Astyanax mexicanus: one gene and its partner. The protein of the gene in region 2 interacts with the protein of the main gene of each other region in a pairwise test. Links are inferred from orthologs where the notes say so. Each region holds a gene or a part of one and is shown on either strand. Other genes may lie near its edges. The genes, in order: smad9 and lemd3.

Region 1 (13,050 bases), on a different chromosome or scaffold from region 2:
TTTCTCTCCCTCATATATCTCTTATTTAAGCTGCAGTTGCCTTAAATGTCCTGTAAATACTGATGATCTACTGTTATTTAAGGTGGCATACCCTGGCTGGTTATGGGCGGGACCAATAACAGACCGCCCGCTCCGCTCTGCAGCCTGTGACCTCGAGGCAGCCCTCAGAGGCGGGGTTATTTAAATGAGTAGGCTGCTCTCCACAGTCTTTCTCCCTCCTCTGGTCTCTACTGCGCAGACACGGGTTTCAGGATCGCCAACATGGAGGAAGATTTTGGCTTCATTTTCATTGAATGAATGGGAACAGCGACACGGCGTCCATCTTTTTTACAGTCTCTGGTGTTAACTAGTTGTCCTTGTAGAACACACTATGCCATCCAATCTACAGCATAGAATAGGGTGACCAAACGTCCGTATTTCCCGGGACATGTCCGTATTTCACGTCCTGTCCCGGGCGTCCTGTTTTTTTTTTTTTTTCAGAAAGTGAGGAAATGTCCTGGTTTTTAAATTACCTTGATTGGACCAGAGAGCAGTAGACAGCGTGACAGTCAGCGTGGAGCCCTCCCTCTCTTCCAGTGCAGTATCACAGTAAGAGCACACACACAATGCTATCTTAATCATTCTTACTTAGAATTTGTACCTTATTTTAAGTAATTTGAACTCAAATTAAGCACAATCAAGCAGCAATCAAGTTATTCTGATTCTTGTGTCCAAAAACAGTGACTTGATTTAGGCCAGGGGTCTCAAAGTACCGGCCCGCGACGAGGTTTCATGCGGCCCCTCATGGGTTAACAAAATAAGCATACATCTGGCCCCCAATTCAATTTAATTATTTATGCTTTATTATGTTTGTTTTTATATTTTATCTTAACTTGTATTTTGGTGTGTGTGTGTGTTTTTAGTTTTTTTTGCTTACGCTGCGTTGCCTGCTTTAATAGTCTTCAGTAGCCTTCAACAGTCTAACCTTGCAGCCGTGGTGTGTCCATTAAACTCCGTAGTTATAAACATCCTGAGGTTAGCAGCGCGCTAACTGACCTGTTTATAATGTAATCCGAGCAGTGACACTGTGACGGCTGCTCAAAAGTGCTGCTGTTAGCTGCTTGGGCTGAAATATGAACTGTAGAGAGCTGTATTATCCGGTTAGTGGGGTTATTTTATTTCATACACAGAAGAACTTAAAACTTTTAAAAACGCTCCAGACTGGCTCAGCTGAGCCCTGTAGCCCGTGGCTGGGCTGTAGCTCTGACTCAGTAAAGACTGCGGGCTTGTGCTGCTGCTGCTCCCACTAGTGGTTGGATGAGGAACTGCTAAATCTGAGGAAATGCTAAATCTGTCACATGTTCTTAATTTTTGATTTTATATTTATTAAGCCTTATTTCAGTATCAAACGTTTTGATCAAAGTTAATATAACTTGTATTTTATGTAATTTCTACGGTGGCCGAGAAAGCCCAACGCAGTGCAAATTGAAAAGCGCTGCAAAAGCACAAAACACATCCATCAAAATTACAACACAGGCGCAGCAAATAGAAAAACGCGCTGCAACTAGAAAAACGCGCTGCAAATAGAACCACAACACAACGGAAGTGAGTCACAACACAACGGAATTTTCCCGGGGGACCTTAAAAGATACTGTACCAGCTAAGCTGCGTCTTCAGTAACGTCTCGGACTTCACTATGTGTACAAAGGACAATAAGTGGCAAACAAGGCGTTTTGTGAAGCAGAACTTTTAATAATATGCACACAACCGTGGTAATCACAGGTAATAAACATAACTTACTTTTCAGAAGCTTGTTTGCCACTTATTGTCCTTTGTATACAGCTGGTACAGCATCTTTTAAGGTCCCCCGGGAAAATTCCGTTGTGTTGTGACTCACTTCCGTTGTGTTGTGGTTCTATTTGCAGCGCGTTTTTCTATTTGCAGCGCGTTTTTCTTTTTGCAGCGCGTTTTTCTATTTGCTGCGCCTGTGTTGTAATTTTGATGGATGTGTTTTGTGCTTTTGCAGCGCTTTTCAATTTGCACTGCGCTGGGCTTTCTCGGCCACCGTAAATTTCTATTCACTTGACTAGTTTGGTTCTTGATTGATGGAGTTTTTGGATTTCATAACATGACAAATTAAAAGGATTTATGTTAATAGAGCAACAAGCAAACATTTTTTCCATGCAACTGTAATATTTGATTGAATAAATAATATATTGAGAGTTATTTAACATTAAGGAGTAATTACATTCATTTTATATTACATCTGGTTACATTTTCTTATATTTATAAGTTACACCTGGCCCTCAGAGAACAGCCAATATGCCAATGTGGCCCTCGGCCAAAATGAGTTTGACACCCCTGATTTAGGCGATACTTCACTCATTTTGAGACTTTGCCATTGCTTTTTGTAAGAAATCTTACTACGAAAATTTTGCTTACCCCATTGGCAGATTTTTTGCTTAATATACATATATTTGTCTTAATTTGCATATATTTTGTCTAGTTTTTGCAAATGGATTTTTAGCAGTGTATGAAGCTGGTGAGAAAGCCTGCCTGACTTACTCTAGTGTGATCTGTACTCACAGTCCAGCACTGTGCAGCTCGAGAACACCAAAATGGGCAGGTCTGCCATTGGAGCCCCAATCTCTTCATACGTGAAAACTGGTTCACACTAAGAAGGTGACAGTGGCTTGCAAAAGTATTCATACCTCTTGAACGTTTTTCTCATTGTGTCACCGCCTAAATGTATAAGCGTGTTGGGGCGTAACCACTGCTGCAACATTACAGATGTGGTGATGAAATTCACGTACATGAATGAGCGTAATTCTAAGTTCAGTCATTCATGGGTTAATGATCTTGGTTTCCACTGATTGGTGTTATGTTATTTTTGTTCTCAACTAGTTTCATCATTAATTTATTAGGATACAGTGTGTGATTTAAGTGATTTATTATTTGGAGCAGTGTATATGTATGTAAAGTTTTATGCGTTTGGCGTGTACTATTTTTACTTTCAATAAAACAAGGAATGCTGTTTACTTATTACCACCAGTCTGCTCTGCACCCTGGGGAACAGCATCCTGCTTTCTCCCCCTCTTCTCTCTCTTTCTGTCCCCTCCACTCTCTTTCTCTCTCCCACACTATCTCTTTCTTCCTCTCCCGATCTTGTTCTGTCTTTCTCTCACACTCTGTTTTTTTCTCCTACTTGCTCCCTGTTTCTGTCTTTCTCTCACACTCTCTTTTTCTTCCACTGTTTTTTTTTCTCTCTCTCTCGATTCGTCTTTCTCTCCCACTCTCTCTCTGTCTTTCTTTTTCACTCTCTCTCTCTTTTAGAAAGAAAGACAGAGGAAGAGACATAAAAGAGGGAGTGGGAGAGAAAGACAGAAAGAGAGAGTGACCCACTCTTTCTCTCCCACTCTCTCTTTCTGTTTTTCTCTTCCACTTTTTTTGTCTCTCCCACTCTTGTTCTGTCTTTCTTTCGCTCCTGCTCTCTCTTTCGTCTTTCTCTCCCACTCCCTCTTTTATGTCTCTTCCTCTGTCTTTCTTTCTAAAAGAGAGAGAGAGTGAAAAAGAAAGACAGAGAGAGAGTGGGAGAGAAAGACGAATCGAGAGAGAGAAAAAAACAGTGGAAGAAAAAGAGAGTGTGAGAGAAAGACAGAAACAGGGAGCAAGTAGGAGAAAAAAAACAGTGTGAGAGAAAGACAGAACAAGATCGGGTCTTTCTCTCTCTCCTTCTGTCTCTCCCGTCTCTCTTTCTGTCTCTCTCCCACTCTTATTCTGTCTCCTTCTTTCTCTCCCGCTCTCTGTCTTTCTCTCCCACTCTTATTCTGTCTTTCTCTCTCTCCTTCTGTCTCTCCCACTCTTGCTCTGTCTTTCTCTTTCTCCTTTTGTCTCTCCCGCTCTTTCTTTCTGTCTTTCTCTCACACTCTTGTTCTGTCTCCCTCTCACTCTTATTCTGTCTTTTCTCTCCCACTGTCTCTCTCTCTCTCAGCAGTTCTTGTGTAATCTATCTTTCTCTATGAGATGTAACCGGTATTATATTACTGTGTAAATAAACGCATTACTGTCTGAAAGGGTGAGTCTGAGCGCAGCTCGGTAAATGTCAGGGTTCAGGTTTTCAGGTCGTGTCTCGGTGCTGCTGTGGGTCCTGATTAATGGGGCCGTTGCACCTTGACGGGCGGCCGTTAGAGCCGTTAGAGCCGCTAACCGTCCCCGTATCATTTTTCATCCTCCTCTCCCGTGTTTGAGCGGTGGAGCAGCGTGTCGTGTCCGCTCTCGTTATTGGGAGCTGTGCTCGGTTCCCCTGCAGTTGCTGTAAACTGTGAAAATGTCAAACTTCTAGACTCTCTGTCGCCATCCAGGCTTGCGTCATTAACTAGTCTGGTCACTGCGCGCACACGAAATCGAAACGTATCCATCCGCAATGAGGAGCGCTCCGCAAAATAGATCCATCGATAAAACTCCTGGCACCCCGCCAAGTTGTGTTTTTTGTTATTTAATTCCCTGCAGTGAATGACTGTGATATAACTGCAGAGACTCTCCATACAGTAAATATAAAAGTATATAGTTACCTGGTTAATTAACTAGAACTGGGTTATATTTTATATTTATTTAGAGTTAGTTTTATCCATCCGCTTAACTCTACATGATGCTATCCTTTTTGAACAGAGTATCAGTATTTACGGATCTAACACGGGCTCATCATAAACAACCGCTTTAAAACAGACTGACAAGCAAAAATGGCAATCAAGGTCCTGAAAAGTGTAAAAATCCTGTGCCGGGATTTCGTTCCAGCTGCCTGGGCGGCTCTGCTGCAGCTCGGCTGTTTACGCGCCACTGCGGAGCCGCCCGGGCAGCTGGAACGAAATCCAGGCGGAGGATTTTTACTTTCTGGACCTGGATTTACCACATATGCTGGCAGGTGTAGCATTAAGTATCATGCTGATGGTATTTTTGACTTTGAACCTTTTAAATTTATTTAAAAAGTCAAAAATTAACGTTATTTTTTTTGCTGCATTACCTATTTTAATTTAATTTTGATAAAAAACAACAACATTTAAACAACCTTTATTTAACATTCCCTATCAGGCATCAGTTAGTCTTGAAATTCTGGCATTGAAACAATTATCAATTTCAAAGGCTTTAAATGGGCCTTTAGAAACTAACAATGCTTTCAGGCGACAGGTTATCCCTTCATAATACTAATACTACTAAAAATAATAATTACAATAATAATCCTATAGCATGTGTTGTGTTGTTGCAAGATACAAAGGCTTTTAACAAAATATATATGTATTAACTAACTTAAATTAACTAAAGTTCATGTATTTATTTGTGTATTTATTTATTTGTAAATCTATTTTTTAAATTAAAATGTAATTGATTAGACATACTTTTAATATATGGGCCTACACACTGCAAACAATGATACAAATAAACAAAAATACATTCCAATGGGACACACACACACACACACACACACACACACACACACACAGCTCGGCTCTTGCTGCAGACCAGAGACTGGGGATGAGCCCAGTGAGTCCAGTTGTATGTCAGGAGGCGCTGGGCCGGCTGGGAGAGTTCCAGCGCTGCGGATGAATCGTGCACGAAGGCGCGGAGGCTCCAGTCAGGCTGACGCCGGGCGCTGCTGCTGCCGTGGAGTCCAAACACGCGCTACACCTCCAATCAGAGCGAGGCTGGAGCGGCCAGGCAGAAAACACGGCGCCGCGCAGAGACAGCAGATAAAAACAGGAGAAAAGGTAAGAAAAACTGCAGCTCTCTCACACAAACACACACCTGCACTTTTATCAGCGTTTTAATAAGTTATTTTACTGAAACGCACTGTTATAATTACAGTCTAGTGTTTATTAACTCTAGTTTAACTTTCATGTGTATTATGATGCCTACTGCCCTCATATGGATAGAAAACCTATACTATAACTTAAATAACTATATTAGCTGTTAACTAACTAGATTTACCCAACTTGGTTAGCTAGCTCATTAATACACATTTTGTTTTTACACAGTTTGTTTTACTTAATTGCTCACGCCTCCTTTCAAATTTTATTAATTGCTAAATAATTACTTAGATATGTTCTTTATTTAGATCTCATTCTTTTGCAATACTGAGTCATTATTTCAATATATATTTTTTTCTTATGGAATGTAAAAAGGTACATTTTTCATTTTACACAGCTGTATTCTGTGTACATCCACTACTACTAGTAGCACTTTAATTTACACTGCATCTATCAGACTTTCCCATATTATACAGCATTCTGCCTCATGCACTTCCCACTCAACTCATTCCTTACCTGCACTTAGTCATAGTTATTCTGTCACCTACTGCACTATTTCCTCACTTCCACACACACACACACACACACACACACACACACACACTAGATATCTGCATAGTCTACATCTGTGCAATATTTGTCTATAGTGTCTATATGTTTATTGTTGGTATATTAAGTGAATTGTGTATAAAGCTATCTGTTTGTATTATTTTATATTTTAGTTTAATTTAATTTAATTTTATTTTATTATTCTTCTTGTAAATATTATTCTCTGCACATTGGTGGGAATCTGCACCTACGTTTTCCACTCACATGTACACCTGTACTCTGTGACGTGACAATAAAAATCTTGAATCTTGCACACAGATACTTAATAATGGGTTGTGTTTATGTTAGGTGGCGGGAATGTGCTTCCATAGGGTGAACTTGTTGCTGCTTTAAATGCTTCATCCTCTCACCAGAGGAGGTGTGGTGCTGCTGGAGGCTTCCTCTCCTCTCTGACTGGAGACGATGCTGCTGCTGCTGCTGCAGTCTGAGATACAATCCTGCTCTAGCTTTAGAGAACCTACAGAATTAACCTGTCTTTTGTAGTGCAGTGGTTAAAAGCAGAGTTATTCCAGCTGTGTGAGAGTATTGTACAGTATTATTGGAGTGTATTAGGGCTGCAGCTATCGGTTATTTTAGTAATCGAGTACTCTACTGAAAAATCGATTCGATTAATCGAGTAATCGGATAACGTATATTTGCTTGCCTTTCTTGTAAGTATTAAGTATAGGGAATAAATCAATAATAGAGGCATAAACATGGATTGGATAAGATCGCTGCATTCTTTTCCCACAAAGTCAGTGGACAGGGGATGTTTTCAGAAATACTTTAAGACCTGTGGAATAACTGTGACAACTAAAGTATTAAAAATGTTTTTTTTTTGTTTTGTTTATTTACGTTTAACACTACTCAGATCTAATTAGTTGACATAACTAAGACTAAATGACAATAATACAGTAAGTTCATGGCTGTGTATTACTTATGCCTTACTTTAACATGTATTTATTTATAAACTCCACAGCGCTGTGTTTACTGATTACATAAAGTCTGTATTAAATCGAGAAGTATTTATAATACTACACAGTGCTGTCGTTATGTTATTAAGCTACACTGATGGATGGTTATTGATTTGTTATAAGTTAAATTTACCTGCTCTCTCTCTTCACTCCAAAATCCTCCGTCTTCTCCACCTGCGTCCTGTGCCTGGGTGACGTAACGCTAAGCGCTGTTTCACATTAAAAGTCCTCGCTAAATTCCGTGCTTTGAGTTAAAATTAATTAAACGATTCCTCGAGGCACAGAAAATTAATCGATAATTTTTTTAATCGAGTTCCTCGATTTACTCGAGTAATCGTTTCACCCCTAGAGTGTTTTTGTAGGTGGAGCTGTGTGATAGTGTACACGGGGTGATTAAGCCTATCTGAGCTCTCAGACTGAGAGACGCCGGTTTCATAAGGAGACTCTGCCTGCGAGCTGAGTGCAGCTCCTTGTATTAACCTTTACTTTATTGTTTTTCTTTCTTTTCTTTCTCATTTTTCTCTCTTTCCTCTTCTCTTCTCTACTATGTATCTATTATTGTTTTAAAGGTAGAGGTGCATAGTAAACAGTAGCCTCATAACCAGTCCTCGTATAGTATTTCAGACTGCACTACAATGTCTATCTATCTATCTATCTGTCTGTCTGTCTGTCTGTCTATTTCATCACATTTCACCAGAAAGCAGTGACTCAATGTGTAGTGAAATTAATAATGTATTACTAATACCCAGCTGGCATTTTAACGTTGAATCAACGATGATTAACGTAGATGTTATGGTTGAATCAAGGTTGGATCAACTGTTGATTTTGAAAAGTGAATCAAGGTTGATATATCAAATGCAGGCATTGGGATTGGGAAGTATCTTAAAAAAATACCAGCTCATTCAGACTAATGGGGTCACCTTGCTAAGTAAATACAAAAAAATAAAGTAAAAATAAAGTAAAATAAAGTAAAAAAATCAATTGTTTAGTAACTTGATATAACATAGCTATTGTGACAGGCCAACTGACCAGTACACTTTAATGTTTAAAGTAAGATTTTTTCCTTTTGCACTTAAGCGCTAAATCTAACAATAGTGTTACCAGAAAGGCTTTTTTTAATTACTTGTTAGCTCAATAAAATGTTCTGTTGAACTATTCCTGTACTCCTCTCATAAATGTGGTATTTGGTTCACTGGCTGGTGAGATGAGTCAGGTGTGGAAGAAGAGAAAGCGCAGAAACATGAGAGGCCCTTCATTCTTTTCAGTTGATTCAGAATTTCCAAAGAGCCGTACAGACAGCTTTGCCCTGCTGTTCTCTGATTCCACTGACTGTGGATCAGGTTTATTTTGATTCATGGCTGAATGAACCGTCATTAGGTGTGTGGCAGTGAGGAGCTTTAGATCCTGCTGAGAGCAGAAGTCTCTCAGTGATGCTGCTGAAGTCTCAGCAGGGCTCTAATGAGGTTGCAGTGTAATGAGGAGAGGAGTATCGGATTCCAGCACAGAGAGAGATTTTCATAAATGCTTAGGCCAGTTCTCTAACCTATTGTTCTTGGAAATCACATTTATATTATATTTGAAGGGCAAACAGTGCCCGCCCTCTTTTAGTGCAGTCAGTTGTGGCTTCTCCTCTTAAATAACATGCTGCTTTATGTTTTTTCTCCAGCAAAGAAAAGGAGTAACATCCAGACTGTGGGTTTCCCAAAGAAAACATCCCCATTGAGGGGTTCACCGTCTAGTTCAGCTGGATCTTGGCTGAGAGGGATTAGAACAGAAAAACTCTTTAAGAGACTCTTTATTTTCTCCTCAGCCTCTGTGGTCCTGCACCTTGCACTGATGCACTCCACCACGTCCATCACCTCCCTGTTTTCTTTCACCAGCCCGGCGGTGAAGCGACTGCTGGGCTGGAAGCAGGGAGATGAGGAGGAGAAGTGGGCCGAGAAGGCTGTGGACTCTCTGGTGAAGAAACTGAAAAAGAAAAAAGGAGCAATGGAAGAACTGGAGAAGGCATTGAGTTGTCCCGGTCAGCCCAGCAAATGTGTGACCATCCCACGTTCACTAGACGGAAGGCTGCAGGTTTCCCACCGGAAGGGCCTGCCTCACGTCATCTACTGCCGGGTATGGCGCTGGCCGGACCTGCAATCACACCACGAGCTGAAAGCCCTGGACTGCTGCGAATTCCCATTTGGCTCCAAGCAGAAGGACATCTGTGTGAACCCGTACCATTACCGGCGTGTGGAGACACCAGGTACCTATATGAATCTGATTTCTTCAGTATCGTTTGTTAATGATTATGGCAGTTAATGGTTATTAGCATTTGCAGTACTAACAGACTGCAGTATGCAATAATAAAGCCAATAACAGTGCTACTCAAAGTGTGGCAAACTTAATTGTTCCATAAATCGTATTCCTGGCAGCATTGGTCTAGAGTATGTAATCATCTAAGCATCTTGCCTAGCATGAAGTAGAACTGTATGTGGCTAGATTACTAATATATGAAATTGTGCAGGCCTACACAATACAGATTTGTTTTATTATCTATCTAAATGAATCTATATTAATCTCTCTCTCCGGTCTGCCATCTTCTTTTGCCCCTCCCCACAATTCTCAGTTTTACCTCCAGTTCTGGTTCCTCGTCACAGCGAGTTCAACCCTCAGCACAGTTTACTCGCCAAGTTCCGCGACGCATCTCTTCACAACGAGCCGCTGATGCCGCAGAACGCCACTTTTCCTGACTCCTTCCCCCCTCTGCCCTGCACCTCTTTCTCCACCTCTCCGTCCAGCTCTCTGCAGTCCCCCACTGCACACAGCTACCCCAGCTCTCCCAGCAGCACAGGTGATCCCGCAAGCCCCTTTCACGTCACAGGTACCCAGTTCACTGTCAATAGCGCCTGTAGTAACATATCTATAAAATAGCAACACAATAGTGATTATAATTTTAGCTATAGGATCAAAATTGCATGTACAGATTATTTGATTATATATATATATATATTAAAATGATAAATATTACAGAAAAAGATCATAATATTTACTCTTTATTCTTTGGATTGAAATCAGCAGAGACCCCACCTCCGCCATACAGCATGATGGAGACCACTCCACCTGAGGACGTAAAGCCTGGAGAACCCTCCAATCCTCTGAAATTAACCCTGTCTACTCCACACAGAGGTACATCTTTTGTTTCTTAACTCTGATTTTGGAGTAGCCCTGCCCTGATACACCTGATTCAACTCTTTCAACTCTTAAAACTTTCATAATTAAACACTTTTAAAGCAGGGAGAGCAATAAATCGTGTGGAACAGAAGCTCCAACAGTACCAGTATGGAAAAACAATGGTCTAGCTTATTTACACAAGCAGTAATTTACAATGTGGTAGAATGACATAAGATTGATTTGTTTTTCTTCAGATTTGCGGCCAGTTTGTTACGAGGAGCCGCAACACTGGTGCTCTGTGGCTTACTATGAACTCAACAATCGAGTAGGTGAGACTTTCCACGCCTCATCCAGGAGCATCTTGGTGGATGGTTTCACAGACCCCTCCAACAACAAGAACCGCTTCTGTCTGGGACTGCTCTCCAACGTCAACCGCAACTCCACCATCGAGCACACCCGGAGGCACATAGGCAAAGGTGAGTCTGTTGTTTTGAGTTATTAGTCTGGGACAGCGTCATTGAGTATCAAACATTAACAGCTGAATTGTTAACATAGGTTTAAGGGGATACCACATAGTTCACTACACTTTATTTATGTTGTTCTCCTCTCTCAATCTTTCTGGACACCTCAGTGTAGGAAACATTAAGATATTGAGCAGAAATAATTATGCTAACTTGCAGATTGGACAAAATCCACACAAATGGTAAAGAACCATGTGTGGATGTCACATCTAGCCTACTATGTTTGTGTGTGTGTGTTTGATAAATGAATCTAAAGAAACAAAAGCTATGAGGATATGCACTTAATAATTGACAGTAGGGGTGGGCAATTTTATATCGTATACAATATATCGTGATACAGAAATATCATGATATTAAAAATCCATATCGTGATAATAGGGATGTTCTGTCTTAAAAGTAGTCTATTATTTACTGTGAAGCTTTAAGTGTATTTATTGTATAACTGTTTTAGTTTATAGTTTTTGTTTGTAGTTTATATGCATGAAAATATTCTGCAATATTATTTGCTGCATTAAATTATTTTATGCTATATTATTTATTTTGCCACATTATGATTATACTGTTATACTATTATACTATATTCCTGAAATTAATTAATTATTTTAGTTTTCCTATATCGCCAAGTATATCGTTATCGCAAAAATACCCTGAAATATCGTGATATTATTTTAGAGCCATATCGCCCACCCCTAATTGACAGGCCTTGTTTGGCGAGTCAGGTTTAGCAGGGTGTTCAGCTCCACAGTTACTTAGTAGTGATGAATTAGGCCAGACAACCAAATACCACAAAACTTGGTAATTTATAATAGTATAATAACAGTTTGTGATGTTTTAATAACACAATCTTGTGCAAAGGGAAAATTAAGGCTCTCTGTAATATCGTTCCACTGCAATGTTAATTCAGTGACCACAGAGAGAAAAAACATTGGCCTGTGTGTGTGTGTGGCGCCAGAGAGTGGTAGACACTGTGCTTACGGCTCTCAGGAAGACGGGGGGAGTACACACACTTGCCAAATGTTGGCTTTTCTCCTGCTGTCTGATTGTGCTTGCAGAGTGACTAAAATGGGGAAAAGTAAATGTTGCCCAGCAGTCTCAGGGCACTTACAAACGCACTCTCTCACACACACACACACACACACACACACACACACACACACACACACACACACACATTCTGTCTTTCATGGACGATGTGAAAGCTTGCCAAGTGTTTGTCCTATCGACATGCCTGAGAGCCCCTTTGCATGGAGTGACACAAACCAGAGCAGCATGGGTGAAAAAAATGGATGCTATTAAGGTTTCCGCTTGGCATGTGATGAAACAAAGTCGGGTTTGTAAATAACGATTTGAAAAAGCACTCAAATCTTACAGATTCACAGTATCATTTCCAGCTTGTTTCAGAAGTGGTCAAAATTTGTACTTAAATTTTTTTCTGCTCCTTTGAATTTTATGGTTGTATTCACATTTCTGCTGTTCCGTTGAAACGGTACAGTTGAGTGCCTAATGTACAATATCTGTATTAATCATTAAGCAGCAAATCATTACACAGATCTTAAAGTGTTTTGTGTCATTTTAATGTCTTAGCTCAGGGGTGTCCAAACTACGGCCCGCAGGCCATTTGCGGCCCGTATCCTTTTTTGGAGCGGCCCGCGAGGTATTTTAGAAATAGAATGAAAGTTGGCCCGCTGTTAAGCAGGTTTTTATAATGTGAGATTTAAAGTTTGAACACTAGGTGTCAGAAACGGGTCAAAGAGTCTAAAAGCGCAGAGGGTGCGCATTTCTAGCGCAGAAAATCGGGCCAAAGAGTCTAAAAGTGGCGAGTGTTAAGTTGTAGCGCAGAAAAACAGGCCAAAGAGTCTAAAAGCAGAGAGAGTGTTCAGATGTAGCGCAGAAAAACAGGCCAAAGAGTCTAAAAGCAGAGAGAGTGTTCAGTTGTAGCGCAGAAAAACGTGTCAAAGAGTCTAAAAGCAGAGAGATTGTGCAGTTGTAGCACAGAAAAACGGGCCAAAGAGTCTAAAAGCGGAGAGGGTG
Region 2 (13,050 bases):
CACACACCACAAAAAATGTCCCAGAACGAGATGAAAGCAAAGGACGTGCGGCATTCTCTCTCTCTCTTTCTCTCTCTACTGCTCCCTCTTCCTTTTCTCCTCTCTAGGTTTCTGGAGCATGGCGGCGTTTGATGAAGGGAAAAACACACAGGCCGTGTGGAGAGCTTTGCTAATCCTACCGCTGAATGGTAATAACCAACACAGATAACTCTCGCCGCCAGCCTTTTATGCCCCAGGCTTTTGTTCTTAAGCCTCAGCGGCAGGCTTTGAAGTGTGGAGTAACAGAGCTGAGGAGAGAGTGGGCCCTCTCTTTCTCTCACTCTCCCTCTTTCTGTACCTCTCTCTTTGTTCTGTACCTCCTCTCCCTTTCCCTTTCCAGCCCCACTTCTCTCTCTCTTCTCCGCTGGGTCGACGTGCCATTTGTGGATTATGATCTCAATGTGCACGGAGACATCGTTAGTGAAAGCGAGATCCAGAAGACAAGCTGACAACAAGAAAGTGAAGCGCACAGGCCAAACACACAGACAAACAGACTGCAGTTCTGTTTCATCTGCAATTTCTATGTTGAAGACTCCGTAAATGCTGACTCCAGTCTCTTAAACTGAACGTAAATATGTGTGATTCAGTTTCTGAATCAGTTTCTCTGATTTTGCTATTTATAGGTATATATTTGACTAAATTAAACATTGTTGTTTTATTCTATAAACTACAGACAACATTTCTCCCAAATTCTGAATACAAATATTGTCATTAAGAGCATTTATTTGCAGAAAGTGAGAAATGGCTGATATAACAAAAATGATACAGAGCTTTCAGACCTCAATTAATGCAAAGAAAACAAGTTCATATTCATAAAGTTTTCAGAAATCAATATTTGGTGGAATAACCCTGTTTTTTAATCACAGTTTTCATGCATCTTGACATGTTCTCCTCCACCAGTCTTACACACTGCTTTTGGATAACTTTGTGCCTTTACTCCTGGTGCAGTTCAGCTTGGTTTGATGGCTTGTGATCACCCATCTTCCTCTTGATTATATTCCAGAGGTATAATTTGGTAAATTTGGTAAAATCAGAGCTGTATGTGTAAACAGAATGGCGCACACAATGTAAATCCAAAAAGTGATTTTAACATTATTGGTAGTGCTGATTAAATTACTGTTTTAATGCAACTTTCAAACTGACATTGTGCATCATTACATATAGAACCTGTCTGAGGGATCTCAGTAGATACGCTTGTGATTTAGTCAGGAACCTGTAGAACTTTAATGTGGCAGTGATTTTAATATTTAATAAATAAATTTCCTAAAATATAAGAAGGTTATTTTTGGACTTTCTTCAATATAAAAGCTGCTGAACGGTTGAAAGAATTGCAATAGAAAATCTCTCATATGTTTAATTAGATTGTTGAGATTTTATTTTAATTTATTTGATTTTTTCAATATTACCCAGCCCTATTTTGTGGTGTATCAATCAAAACCTGTTGAACCCGTAACCACAGCTTTAACTTATTTTTTCATTTAACCTGCATACATATCTTGTCATCTACATTTAAATAAATGAGTATGCAACAGGGCACTTTAACAATGAGCAAAGTTTTTAAACAAAAGTAAGTTGAGTTACATGAGTATTTTTGTTCATTTTAACATTTAAATTAGATCTTTAAGTTGCATCAACCATTTAATATTTTAAATGTGTCACAGGCACACTCAGAGTTATGAACTGCATTGATGTATATGGATCACATCTATGACTTTTCAGTTGTTTCCACAATCAATATTTAGTACCTTCAGTACATTTTACTTAAACTTAATGTTTTATACAACTAAAAGTGTCTTAGGTCTCTGAACCTGTTCAGTTTGAATGTGTACAGACTATGGACCTGTTGAATGCCCTGGTCTACTGGTAGACCCCCCCCCCCCAAAAAAAAAAAAATCAGTAGTCGAGAAATGAAATATATATGATACTAGCATTCTAAAAGTCAAGATCCCCCCCCTCCCAGTTGAACGTAGGTGCCAATCAACCCAATACACTTAGCCAGGAGAAAGTTTTGTGACCAAACTGTGAAGCCCCCAACAATACCCCCAACAACAGCAACAGTAGGGATTACCTAATGCATGCCATGTCTGTTTATGTACTTACTTCTATAACCCATTGTGGAATCATACAGGAATAGTAATGTATCTGCTATGACATAGTGATCATATTGAATTAATCATTTTTCAGCTTTGAAGTTCCTTTTAAAGTTCAAAGAAACCAGACAGTGCCTGGGTCTACACTGTAATCAGATATGGTGTAATTATAATTGCTCAAATTTGCAGAAATGAGACGTATTAGAAGCTAATAGATATTTAAGAAGGAGCTGCTGCTCTGTTTAAACACTCATTCAGCCAGTAAACTCACATAATGATGAAGTTTCAGAGCCCACAGACCATGTGTAAAGGAGGAGTAGGGAGGTCATTTTAGCCACCGCTTATTACCAAACCAGTGATGGATAGCAATGAGGATCAAACATGCACAGTGCCCCTTCCAAATAGAGTTTTGGCCTTAAAACATGTCCTGAGGCCTGTGTGTGTGTATATGTGTGAGTGTGTGTGTGTGAGAGAGAGAGAGAGAGAGAGAGAGAGAGAGAGAGTGTGTGTATGTGAGAGAGAGAGAGTGAGAAAGAGTGGAGCATGTTTCAGTGGGCTGATGGCCCAGATGTTTGGCACATGCATGCAGAGGCTTTGATCCGAGGAGGCAGCTCCACCACACCAGCACGTAAAATACCGCAGGACATGGACATTACAATAGCACCAGAAACAGGGGAGCTCAGAGCCGCCTTCAACAGGTCACCGCTCAGCCTTCAGCACCTCATACCATATTACTAAAGATAAGCTCGCACACTGAGGAATCACTACAGGCAACACACACACACATACATATACATAAATATATATTATTTGTGTTATTTATTACAATTGTATTATTTTTTTATCATTTATTTGTAACTAAATCCAAAGTATAAATGTCCTTGTATTATTTTAGACCAGTTCAAATATATTAGACCAATTAAAGAACATGTATAATTAATTTCATGAAATTAAATGTAATTTACATGATTTACAAGTTGCAAATAATCTACAGGAAAATAATATCTAAAAAAAAAAGTTTCCTGGCAGCAGTGGAGCCAGATAATATCTATATAAAAACTGTCATTTTCTGTAAGTTACGGACCGGTGAGTTACCTTTTTTTTTACATACTTTTTCTGGCACCACTGCTGCCAAAAAAATTAAAAAAAAAATTTACAACAGAAATTTTAAAACCTATGTACTTCACAATCACTCGCTGTGACTTTCTGGAAGCAGGGGTGATGGAAATTTTATTATTACTTTTTTACATATTATTTTCCTGCACCCTGCTGCCAGAATTTCTTTTATGCATTTTTCCAATATTATTTATTGTATATATATTATATATACTACAGGAAGATGGATGATCACAAGCCATCAAACCAAGCTGAACTGCTTGAAATTTTGCACCAAAAGTGGCATAACATTATCCAAAAGCAGTGTGTAAGGCTGGTGGAGGAGAATATGCCAAGATGTATGAAAACTGTGCTTTAAAAACAGGGATATTCCACTAAATATTGATTTCTGAACTCTAAAACTTTATGAATATGAACTTGTTTTCTTTGCATTATTTGAGGTCTGAAAGCTCTGTATCGTTTCTGTTTTTTGAGCAATTTTTCATTTTCTACAAATAAATGCTCTAAATGACAATATTTTTTTATTTATAATTTGGGAGACATGTTGTCCATAGTTTATAAAATAAAAAAAAAACAATGTTTTTACTCAAACATTTACATTTAATCAGGGACACTGATTCAGAAAGTAAACGGTCTCTTATTTTTTTCAAGAGTTGTATATACAACTGTAATTATGTGTACATTTACAGAAAATGTTGCTGTTTTTTTATTAATAAATACATTCTTGATCAAATAGTCAAATAAAAGCTGTTAGAAGACGGCTAATTCATGTATTCAATGTATAATATTTCGTTCTTTGTAAATCACAACATCACAAGATTTTTTTTTACAGGGAAATCCTATAAACCTATTAAAACATACTAAAACAAAGTAAGCAAAGCCTATAAAAACTTTTTTTTCAGTGTAGTTTCTTAATGTGAGCATGCTTTAAAAAACATATTGAGCTTTACTCAAAGAGCTGCAATCACCACAGCTGCACTTCAGTAAGAGCCCTGTGACTATAATGTTTGCACAGGTGTTATAACAGCTCCATACCAAAGATACATTCTTTTTACATTCACTTTCTAAACATATTATAACACTGCTATTACAGATCTAAACAGACTGACCTCCATAATACCTCTCAATATATTCTCCATACCTGATCATCAGTGACCTGCCAGGTGAAGTTCACGTGGTGGATGTGGACAGGTATGGCGGGCATGCGCTGCTGGGCTTTTTTAAAGTCGTGTGTGAACGGGGCCATTTGTCCTTCTGACACAATCAAGATATCCTCCTCGAAACCTGTGAAAGAAAACATGCCAGAACTCAGAGCTCCTCTCTCTCTTTTTCCTCCTTAAAGCCCAGCAATATCAACCTGCTTACATGATCAAAAAATAAGTTTTAGAGTTTGAAACCCCCTCAGAAGATCCAGGACCTCCACACTGCCCCACAGCATCACACACAGAACTATTTACCTATCAGTATCCTGGCCTGGTTGGCATCAATCCACATGTACAGGCTCCCCTGCTCGGGGGCAGCTCCGGCTGATAAAGCTCCCAAAAGTAGAAAAAAGTAAGTTTTCAGGCAAGACTGGAGAGCAGGAGACCCCCGAGCCATTTCGAACGACCCCTCTGGATGCTGAGTGAAGAGCCGGGTTTAACGTGTCCCTCCTCGCGCTGAAATCCCGGTTTAAATGTATCGTCACCGCCTCTGGGATTGACAGACTGAAATGTCTGCGCTGCTTCGCAGGGCTACTTGTAGACGCCGGGACCTGCAGTTCCGAGCGCCCGCCACACGGTGGCGTGATGTGCCAGAACAGGACCACAACATTATTATCAATCTGCTGTTATAATAATAATAATAATAATAATAATAATAATAATAATAATAATAATAATAATAATAATAATAATAATAATAATAATACAGAGTTTAAATGTTATTATTCCGAGATTAAAAGTCACACATTACAACTAATTTCTATAAAGGTACAATAATAATAATAATAATAATAATAATAATAATAATAATAATAATAATAATAATAATAATAACAATAATTCCTGATTTTTGCACCAGGAGTGGCATAAAGTTATCCAAAAGCAGTGTGTAAGAGGACACAAAATGCATGAAAATTGTAATTAAAAAACAGCATTACTCCACCAAATATTGATTTCTGAACTCTTACACCTGAATATGAACTCTTTTCTTTGCATTATTTGAGCCTGCGTCTGCATCTTTTTGCTACTTCAACCATTTCTCATTTTCTGCAAATAATATTGGAATTTAGGAGAAATGTTGTCCTTAGTTTATAGAATAAAAGAGCAATGTTCATTTTACCCAAACATATACCTATAAATAGCAAAATCAGATAAACTGAATTAGAAACTGAAGTGGTCTCTTATTTTTTACAGAGCTGTACATAAGAAATATTTTGTGAACACTTTGAGACCATTCATTAAAATATAAATTAATTTCATGAAAAAACTAAGTTTAATTGTCATTAATATTAATAATTTGTCATCATCTTAGAATAAAATGTATAAAATAACAGTACAAAATCCTAAGTGAGGGAATATTGGTCCATGAATTAAGATATTGAACTAAATTACTTAAATAAACAATAACATTTAGTTTAAAAATCCTTGACATAATATTTTTTTATTAACATGGATCATTTCATATGTTCTGTACATAACTTACACATAAAAGCACTGGAAATATAATAAACTTAATCTTAATCCACTTAAAACCCTATTCTATTAGTAGTTGTTTTTTCAGAGCTGTATGGCAAATTAAAGGGAAAAATTAAGATGATCTTAAATGTGTGTCCGATAGTGTAAAAAAAAACTACATAACTAATTATTCTGTGTGAGGGTATTTTAGTCTATGACTTAAATTATACATATTTTTTGCATCTTAACTGTGCTAGTTGGTGAAATAACACGGCTAAAATATATGTATATATTCTTATTATTTTTTTATTGAATACAGGGCTTTATTTGTGTGTTTTGTAGTGGGTTTTGTGGTGATTTTAGTCTGTGGTGGTGATGTAAACGTTAATCTGCTGATCATTCCGCTGCTGAACTTCATCTGCCCGACTTTACTGGCTGCTCTTGCGTCACTTCCTGCAGCGCGTCCTGTGCGAGTTTGGTGTGAAGATGGCGGCGGCGCAGCTAACGGACGAGGAGCTTTTCTCCGAGTTAAAACAGCTGGGCTTCACTCCCGGCCCGGTTACCGAGAACACGCGGCCTGTGTACTTGAAGAAGCTGAAGAAACTACGCGAGGAGCAACAGCAGCAGCGGTCTAGGGGCAGTAAGGGGCGCAGCAGTGTCGGTGGCGGCGGTAGCAGCAGCAGCTTTAGCAGCAGCATCAACAACAGCGGCGGCGGTAACGGCCACCCAGCGGCGGGAGCTGCGGCCGTGCGCGCCAGGCCGGCTGGGGGCCGCCAGGTGCTGAATGCGAAGCGGTCGGAGCGGCCGGGAAAGTTTGTTTTGGGCTTTAGCTCGGACGAGTCGGACGCGGAGCTTCCCCAGCACAAAGCAGGCCTGAATCACAGCGGCTCTAGGAGAGAGCGGGGCTCCGGGCTGGGGCTGCAGCCGCTGAGGCCTCCCCAGGAAAGTGGCGCCGGAGTCGCCCACAGAAAGTCGGCTCTCGGGGTTCTGGAGGGTCGGAAAAGTAGCCTCGTGGCGGCGTCTGCGTGGTGGGCAGACCGGGGTAAGGCGAGCTTAGGGGAGTCCCGCTCTAACCTGGCGTGGGATGAGGATTACACCCAGCTGGGGAAGGAGAACAGCTTGGAGGAGAAGCAGAAGGAGACCGAGAGGAGCAGTCGGGCTCTGAACGGGAGCAGGACACAGCCTTACACAGCGCTCAGTGGAAGCAGCAGCAGTAAGCTGGCGGGGGATTACTCAGACACAGACGAAGAGGAGGAAGAAGAAGAGGAGGAGGAGGAGGAGTTGGAGGACCGTGAACGCCAACGCGAACGTCGTCTGCTGCCCAGGAGAAGCGTATCCAAAGCCTCCCCGTCTCCGGCCAAAAGAAGAGGCAGGGAGCCGGATGAGGAAGACGACCAGGAGGAGGACGGGAGGTCCGCGGGATCCGGGAGATCCAACGCAAAGCGCGATGAGTTCGATCTGAACCGCATTTACACGAGGCCCGCTCGCTTCAGCTCCGGCATCATGGGCGAGAATGGCGGGGACATTGACAGCAGCAGCAGCAGCCCCAGGAACCACGTCGACGGCGGGCAGGGCGCGACCACCAGCATAGGCAGCAGCAGCTCCTCGTTTAGCCTCGGCCTCAGACCTCGATTCTCCTCGTCGTACAACAGCCTGTCAACGACTTATCGACCCAACCATTCGAACCACACCGGCTCGAACCACAGCTACGGGCAGGCTTCCACCAAACGCAAGCAGCCAGCCCCCGAGGACGAGCTCCTGGAGCAGTTCCGGAGGGAGGAGGCGTCTGGCACCGGCGGCTTCAGCGCACACTACCTGTCCATGTTCCTCCTGACCGCTGCCTGCCTCTTCTTCGTGCTGCTTGGCCTCATGTACCTGAGAATGAGGGGTACTGGGTCCACAGACGAGGTCGTCAGTAAGTATTAAAAAAATCCTGATTAGATAATTGGTTTGAGAACAGTGAGTTTGTTTGATGTGCAGACAGATGTGTTGTAGTAGTGACTGAGATTCATTCACAGTTCTTTTCTGAGAATGTTTCCCAGACACAGTTTAAGGCCAATGCGTATTGAAGATCTTAGTCTTATGCTGAACTGAATGGAACTGGTGGGTGAAATTAATTTAGCATCTGACGTACTAGTCTTCTTTGTAGGGCTGCTACGATTATTCAGTAAAATCGCCAATGTCGATAATCAAAATTGCGTTACACAAACTAAGCGGGACAGAAATGCAGTGGAATCACTCATACAGTTTACACTCATAATGATCTGTCACTCCAAAAAGTGCCTAAACACAGTTACAATTAGATTGCATGTTTACTCATTAAATATCAGAATATTTAATATTTAAACATAATCTGGGCATTTAAAGAGCACCTTTACACACGTTTAACAGTTTACTTCATTTTAAAAGGGATGGAAATAATTGTTGACTAATCAGGAAAAAAATAGTCCACAATTTAGCCAATTACCAAAATAATAGTTAATTGCAACCCAACTTCTGGACTGGAACACCAACATTGCAGGTCAATCCATTGCAAGAATGATCAGTGACAACTATAAGGTGCTACACAAAAAAATTTAGTAACATCATGCTTTGAGTTAAGAAGATTATGTTAACTGAGATAATTTGCAAGCTTTAATATTTTTCACCAAATCTTTTCAGTAGTCACAAAATGTCAACAGTCCAACCTGATCTTGATATTATTAATGCGCTCTGTGTAACAAAAATTGCTTTAAATTAAATTAAATTGGATCGAAATAATCTGCTTGTGATAAAGTGTGAGCAGTGTACATTAGAACTTCCTTTTGAATCAGGGAAGTTATAATATGACGTGTGGGTTATGTTCCTTTTTTGACTTTTGTACATTATGCAATGTGACTATTACACATGTGCACATTGGGATTGTCTCAAAACAATGTATTGTGCAGCCCTAGTAAGATTTAAGTAACTTTCATTGCTTTATTTCAGAGATGCATTCACTGATACTCTACTTCAAACATGTTTGTTTGTTAATGCTTGGTTTAGCTCCTTGAGTTTTCTTTAGACTGCTTAAATAAGCATAGTTGTTAGTCAAAATGATTAACCAGTGTTTGTGTTCTCATGCATAAGACTGTTATGTGGTCAGTGCTCATAAGACCCATGTATGATGTTTAAATGAATGTCTCATTTTGTTTAGAGCTTTCAATGGAAAAAAAATGAAACTGCTGAAATTGTCTAGGACTGAACCTGACCTCGAAAGCCTTTAAATGACTGTGTTTGCTATCCCAGTCAGACGTGTCAGACACACACGTTACCACTTGTCACCCTGAGCTGTTCGCACCCTCAGACAGGAAACAGAATATGCCACTTTGGCCTGCATGAAGGGGTGGCATTACCATCAGAACAGGAGCGAAACACCCCTTAAGGCAGTGGAATGTGTGTGTTCCACCTCTCCATCTGCCTTGTGGTATGACTCGCGCTCATTGTAGGTGCCCTGTGTTCACCTACCACAGTGCTGCAGTAATGAAATGTTCAAAAGAAGTAGAATGAATCAGTAAGTCAGTGTAGTATAATTGTGTGTTATCAGCTCTGCTTGATCTCTGAGCATACCAGCTTTATACTTGAGTCATTCCTTGGGTCAGCTTTAGGTTTTCTCAGCAGAGGAAGTGCTGTGAACTTCAGTTTAGGACAGTTCTGTTAGCTACAAAAAAAAGTTCCTCTGTGAAGTTGCTGCTGCTGCCTGCAGTTAGACTGGAAAATAACAGTCTTTAGCCTTGCTAGTATGTGGAAATTCCTCACAGCTAATGGCCATATAGTTTACATTTAGGTTAAGGTATGTTTAGTCTTCTAAACATGAGGGAAGGATGTGAACCAGTACCCACACCATTGTGATAAGCTGGAGGCAGGCTTGACACTGCAGCAGTTGTAGTTTTGATGTTTAACGGTGTAGTAGTAGGCCTAACGTTTTTTCTGTCTAGTGCCGCTATGGCAGAAGGAGCCAGTGGGTGTATTACGAAAGCCTGAGTGTGTGGTGTGCCCATGGAGGCTCTCGGGGAGGGAGCTTTGCGTGAAGAGCGAGTGGCAGACATCTAGGTCACAGACGAACTAAAGCGGCCTAATTGTTCGTCTCTCAAGAGACCTGAGAAGTCTGTGGCCAAAGCTAAAGTGATTGACTGCTGGCTGGCTGCCTGACTGCGTCCAGTGCCACTTACATCAGATGTTTGCTGTATGGTGTGCGTATTATTGGGAATGGTTGTGTAGCGATGCAGGGGTCCTCCTGTTATTTTCTTACTCCCAGTTTCTTTTCTGATACATTCAGGCAGGACATTAGTGGATACTACCATACAATTTCGATACTCGTGGATTTCAGGGTGTATGTGATGTTTTAGGCACGCACCAATATGAGAATTGGAGCCATTTCTGATTGACTTTTATACATTTATCTGCCAGTCTGTATGTTTACGCAAGTGTTTAAAAGGTTTAAAAACTGAAGTTGTTTCCATAAAGTTAAAACTGCAGATAAAGGTGTAAATAAATAATTATCATTTGAACAATTTTATCTAGTGTTACAATGTCTCAGAAGGACCAAATGAAACACACAAATTGAACTTTTGTTCAGCTCAAATTGTCTCTTTCCCCTACTATTTATTATACAGAATACTCAGTGCCCTGTGTTTTTTGTCTTGACCCCATCCCCAGTCTTTCAGAGAACTAGCATGTCTGCAGGGAGATCTGTCTGTACTATTTCGTGGCTGATGAGAGGAATGAAACCAATTATGTTCTCTAGCAGACAGTAGGACAAGGGTGAGACACTCAAATGCTCCCTGCCACTGCATGTGTCTGCCCTCAACAGACATGACTGGGAAATGCAGTCCTGCCTTTGCTTGGAATGTAATTCTCTCACCAGGCTAAGCTGACTTTAAAAAGCTTATAGCTATTACTGCTGTAAAAGCATCCGCTCTTTTTTTCTTTTTTCTTTTGCAGTTAAGACCCACCCATTCGGTGCAGATTTTGACAACGCATATGTAAGTACCTAGTGTCTTTGTGCAATCTTTGCTGGTTATCTTTATAAAAATCTGTAATCTTTTTTTTTCTCTTCAAAAAATAGATTTTAAAATGAATTTACATTAGAACAACTAAAAATGTTTTGCAGTGTTTTGAGGTGCTAAACAAACAATTTGTTTGCTAGAAATATGATACATTAATTTTTTTGGTTTGCTTTGATTGAAAGCTGGTATGTATAGCATCTTAATAATGTCAGACTAATGGGCTCACTTAGTTAGTAACAATAGAATATCCTGGTAGAACTGGTTGAGTCGCCAGAAATATGGTATCTAACACAACAGTGCTTTGTTTTTTTCCTTCTAGACCAACAGCGAGCGAGACCTCATTCTCAGCCTGTTGCTTCACCTGCACAATCATCTGTCTGATATTGCAGGTAATTTAAGATTTCAAATGCATCCTGTGGGAGTTACTGTAAATATGAGCCTGTTTACACCTGGAATTAACATTTTGTTTTTTGGTGATCGGGACATGTTCAGGATTTACTTGTCTGCATGTAAAGTTGGGTATATTCAAGGATCTTCGGTTTGAGTTCAGGATGCTTTACCATTAGCAGGCAGAGTGGGAAGATGGCGCTCTTCTAATGTGATGTTGGTCGGCACAGGCGTCCGTTAGCTTGTATTGCTAGAGGCTGAGCTGAGACACTGTGCCTCTTCCCCAGTGCTCTGGCTACCCAGTGATGCTACGTCAGCTACAGTTCAAAAATAGCTGGAGGATTACTTTATAGGCCTTAGTATGCAAGGGCTAGACATCACCCTCCTATTGTACTTTTATGCATATTTACCAGCAATATTAAAGAGTTTGATCTTTTGCAGTCTAAATAGACTTCTGTTTTCTGATTGAGTTTTTTTTGGCAGTGTTAAAACTGTTAAACATGTTATGTTCACCATCTAGAGCATTTCAAACAAAAACTTTGAAGGAGGGAAAATTAAAGAACATGCTTTAAGCCCACCTTCCAATCTTGCATCCTATAAATACAATTTTTCTAAATACAATCTTTTTCACGTCTTCATGACTGTCTTCCACCCTTCACAATCATTTTTAACTCACTCATATCTCTCCTTCTTGGCTCCACTAATCAGAGATGGGGTAATGGCTTCGGAGCAGACACCACCGTAACTCCATCACAAAGGTCTTCTGAGTTCTCTCCATCCTGTTCAGTCTAATTACAAATCATGTGACTGATGGCGTGGTCCGAAATAGCAAACAGGAAGTAAACATAAATGATGTGCATTTTGGTGTGCTTTTTGTATGTAAAATTGAATCTACTCTGTTTTTTTCAGGTAGTATTCTGATTCAAAAAGCCCAATGCCAGGTGTAAATAAGTCTTTTGATTCTAGTTTCAAATACTAATAAGCATCACTTAGGGTGTTTTCACTCCGGACCGTGGTTTAGTAGAACCAAACCTAGACCACCTACTGGTGGGACCAAACTCTTGTCCTTTGGTCTGGTCTGTGGTTTTGGCCCCTTTTACTCCTGCTGCTTTGGTTCGGGTCCAAACTGAAAAGTCAGAAGGTCCGGACAAAACGTGGTAGGTGTCAAAGCTGCGCTTAAAATATTTCATTTTTCATTTATTTCAGGGGAACATGACTGCCGAGATCTAAACCTGCCGTTAAACAGGAGTGTCTCCATCTCTGAGGCTGCTGAGTATCTAAAGGTAGGTTTAGTTTGGAATATGTAATGTGTTGGACTGTGTTTTAACATTCTGGTAATGGTTTTCTCATTTCCTTCCTACTAAGTGGCTTTTAAATTATTTGAGTGTATGAAAGTGAGCTGTCTGTTCTGATTTAAAACATATCCTCACTCACGTCTGCTTTAGTTACTTCAATTACTTCAATTACTGTGTTGTGTAGCTTTGCAGGGTTTGTAAGAATGTATTGAGTTGCTTAAAAATATTATATTGTCTTCTTGTAGCTCCGAAATAAGGACTATGAAGATTGGATTCACATTTCTCTTGAGTGGGTTATTAAATCTGGAGAAACTGCTGGAATAAGGTAACAAACAACACATGAAATAGTTGTGTCTGTGTTTTATTTTGTGTGTTTCTTAGATTTCTGGAAGATTTTAAATTCAGTTATGAAATGCAAATGCACAGTAACATCTGTGGA

Evidence for each region.
Region 1: the proteins of lemd3 (region 2) and smad9 interact in binary tests that used the Homo sapiens proteins (3 or more experiments, as listed by UniProt). The link is inferred for Astyanax mexicanus from reciprocal best matches to the Homo sapiens genes LEMD3 and SMAD9.

Annotation. Positions count from the first base shown.
Region 1 is NC_064427.1:39,535,507-39,548,556, reverse strand, and holds the start of smad9 (mothers against decapentaplegic homolog 9), read left to right. Parts: upstream 1-5,637; 5' UTR 5,638-5,741; intron 5,742-7,475; exon of another isoform or gene 7,476-7,839; intron 7,840-9,008; 5' UTR 9,009-9,178; coding exon 9,179-9,590; intron 9,591-9,953; coding exon 9,954-10,208; intron 10,209-10,402; coding exon 10,403-10,513; intron 10,514-10,752; coding exon 10,753-10,974; intron 10,975-13,050. UniProt on the Homo sapiens protein: Transcriptional modulator activated by BMP (bone morphogenetic proteins) type 1 receptor kinase. SMAD9 is a receptor-regulated SMAD (R-SMAD).
Region 2 is NC_064409.1:10,896,188-10,909,237, reverse strand, and holds the start of lemd3 (inner nuclear membrane protein Man1), read left to right. Parts: upstream 1-6,340; 5' UTR 6,341-6,388; coding exon 6,389-7,817; intron 7,818-10,864; coding exon 10,865-10,905; intron 10,906-11,248; coding exon 11,249-11,318; intron 11,319-12,522; coding exon 12,523-12,599; intron 12,600-12,856; coding exon 12,857-12,936; intron 12,937-13,050. Other genes in the region: wif1 (wnt inhibitory factor 1), read right to left, coding at 4,387-4,529, 4,703-4,844.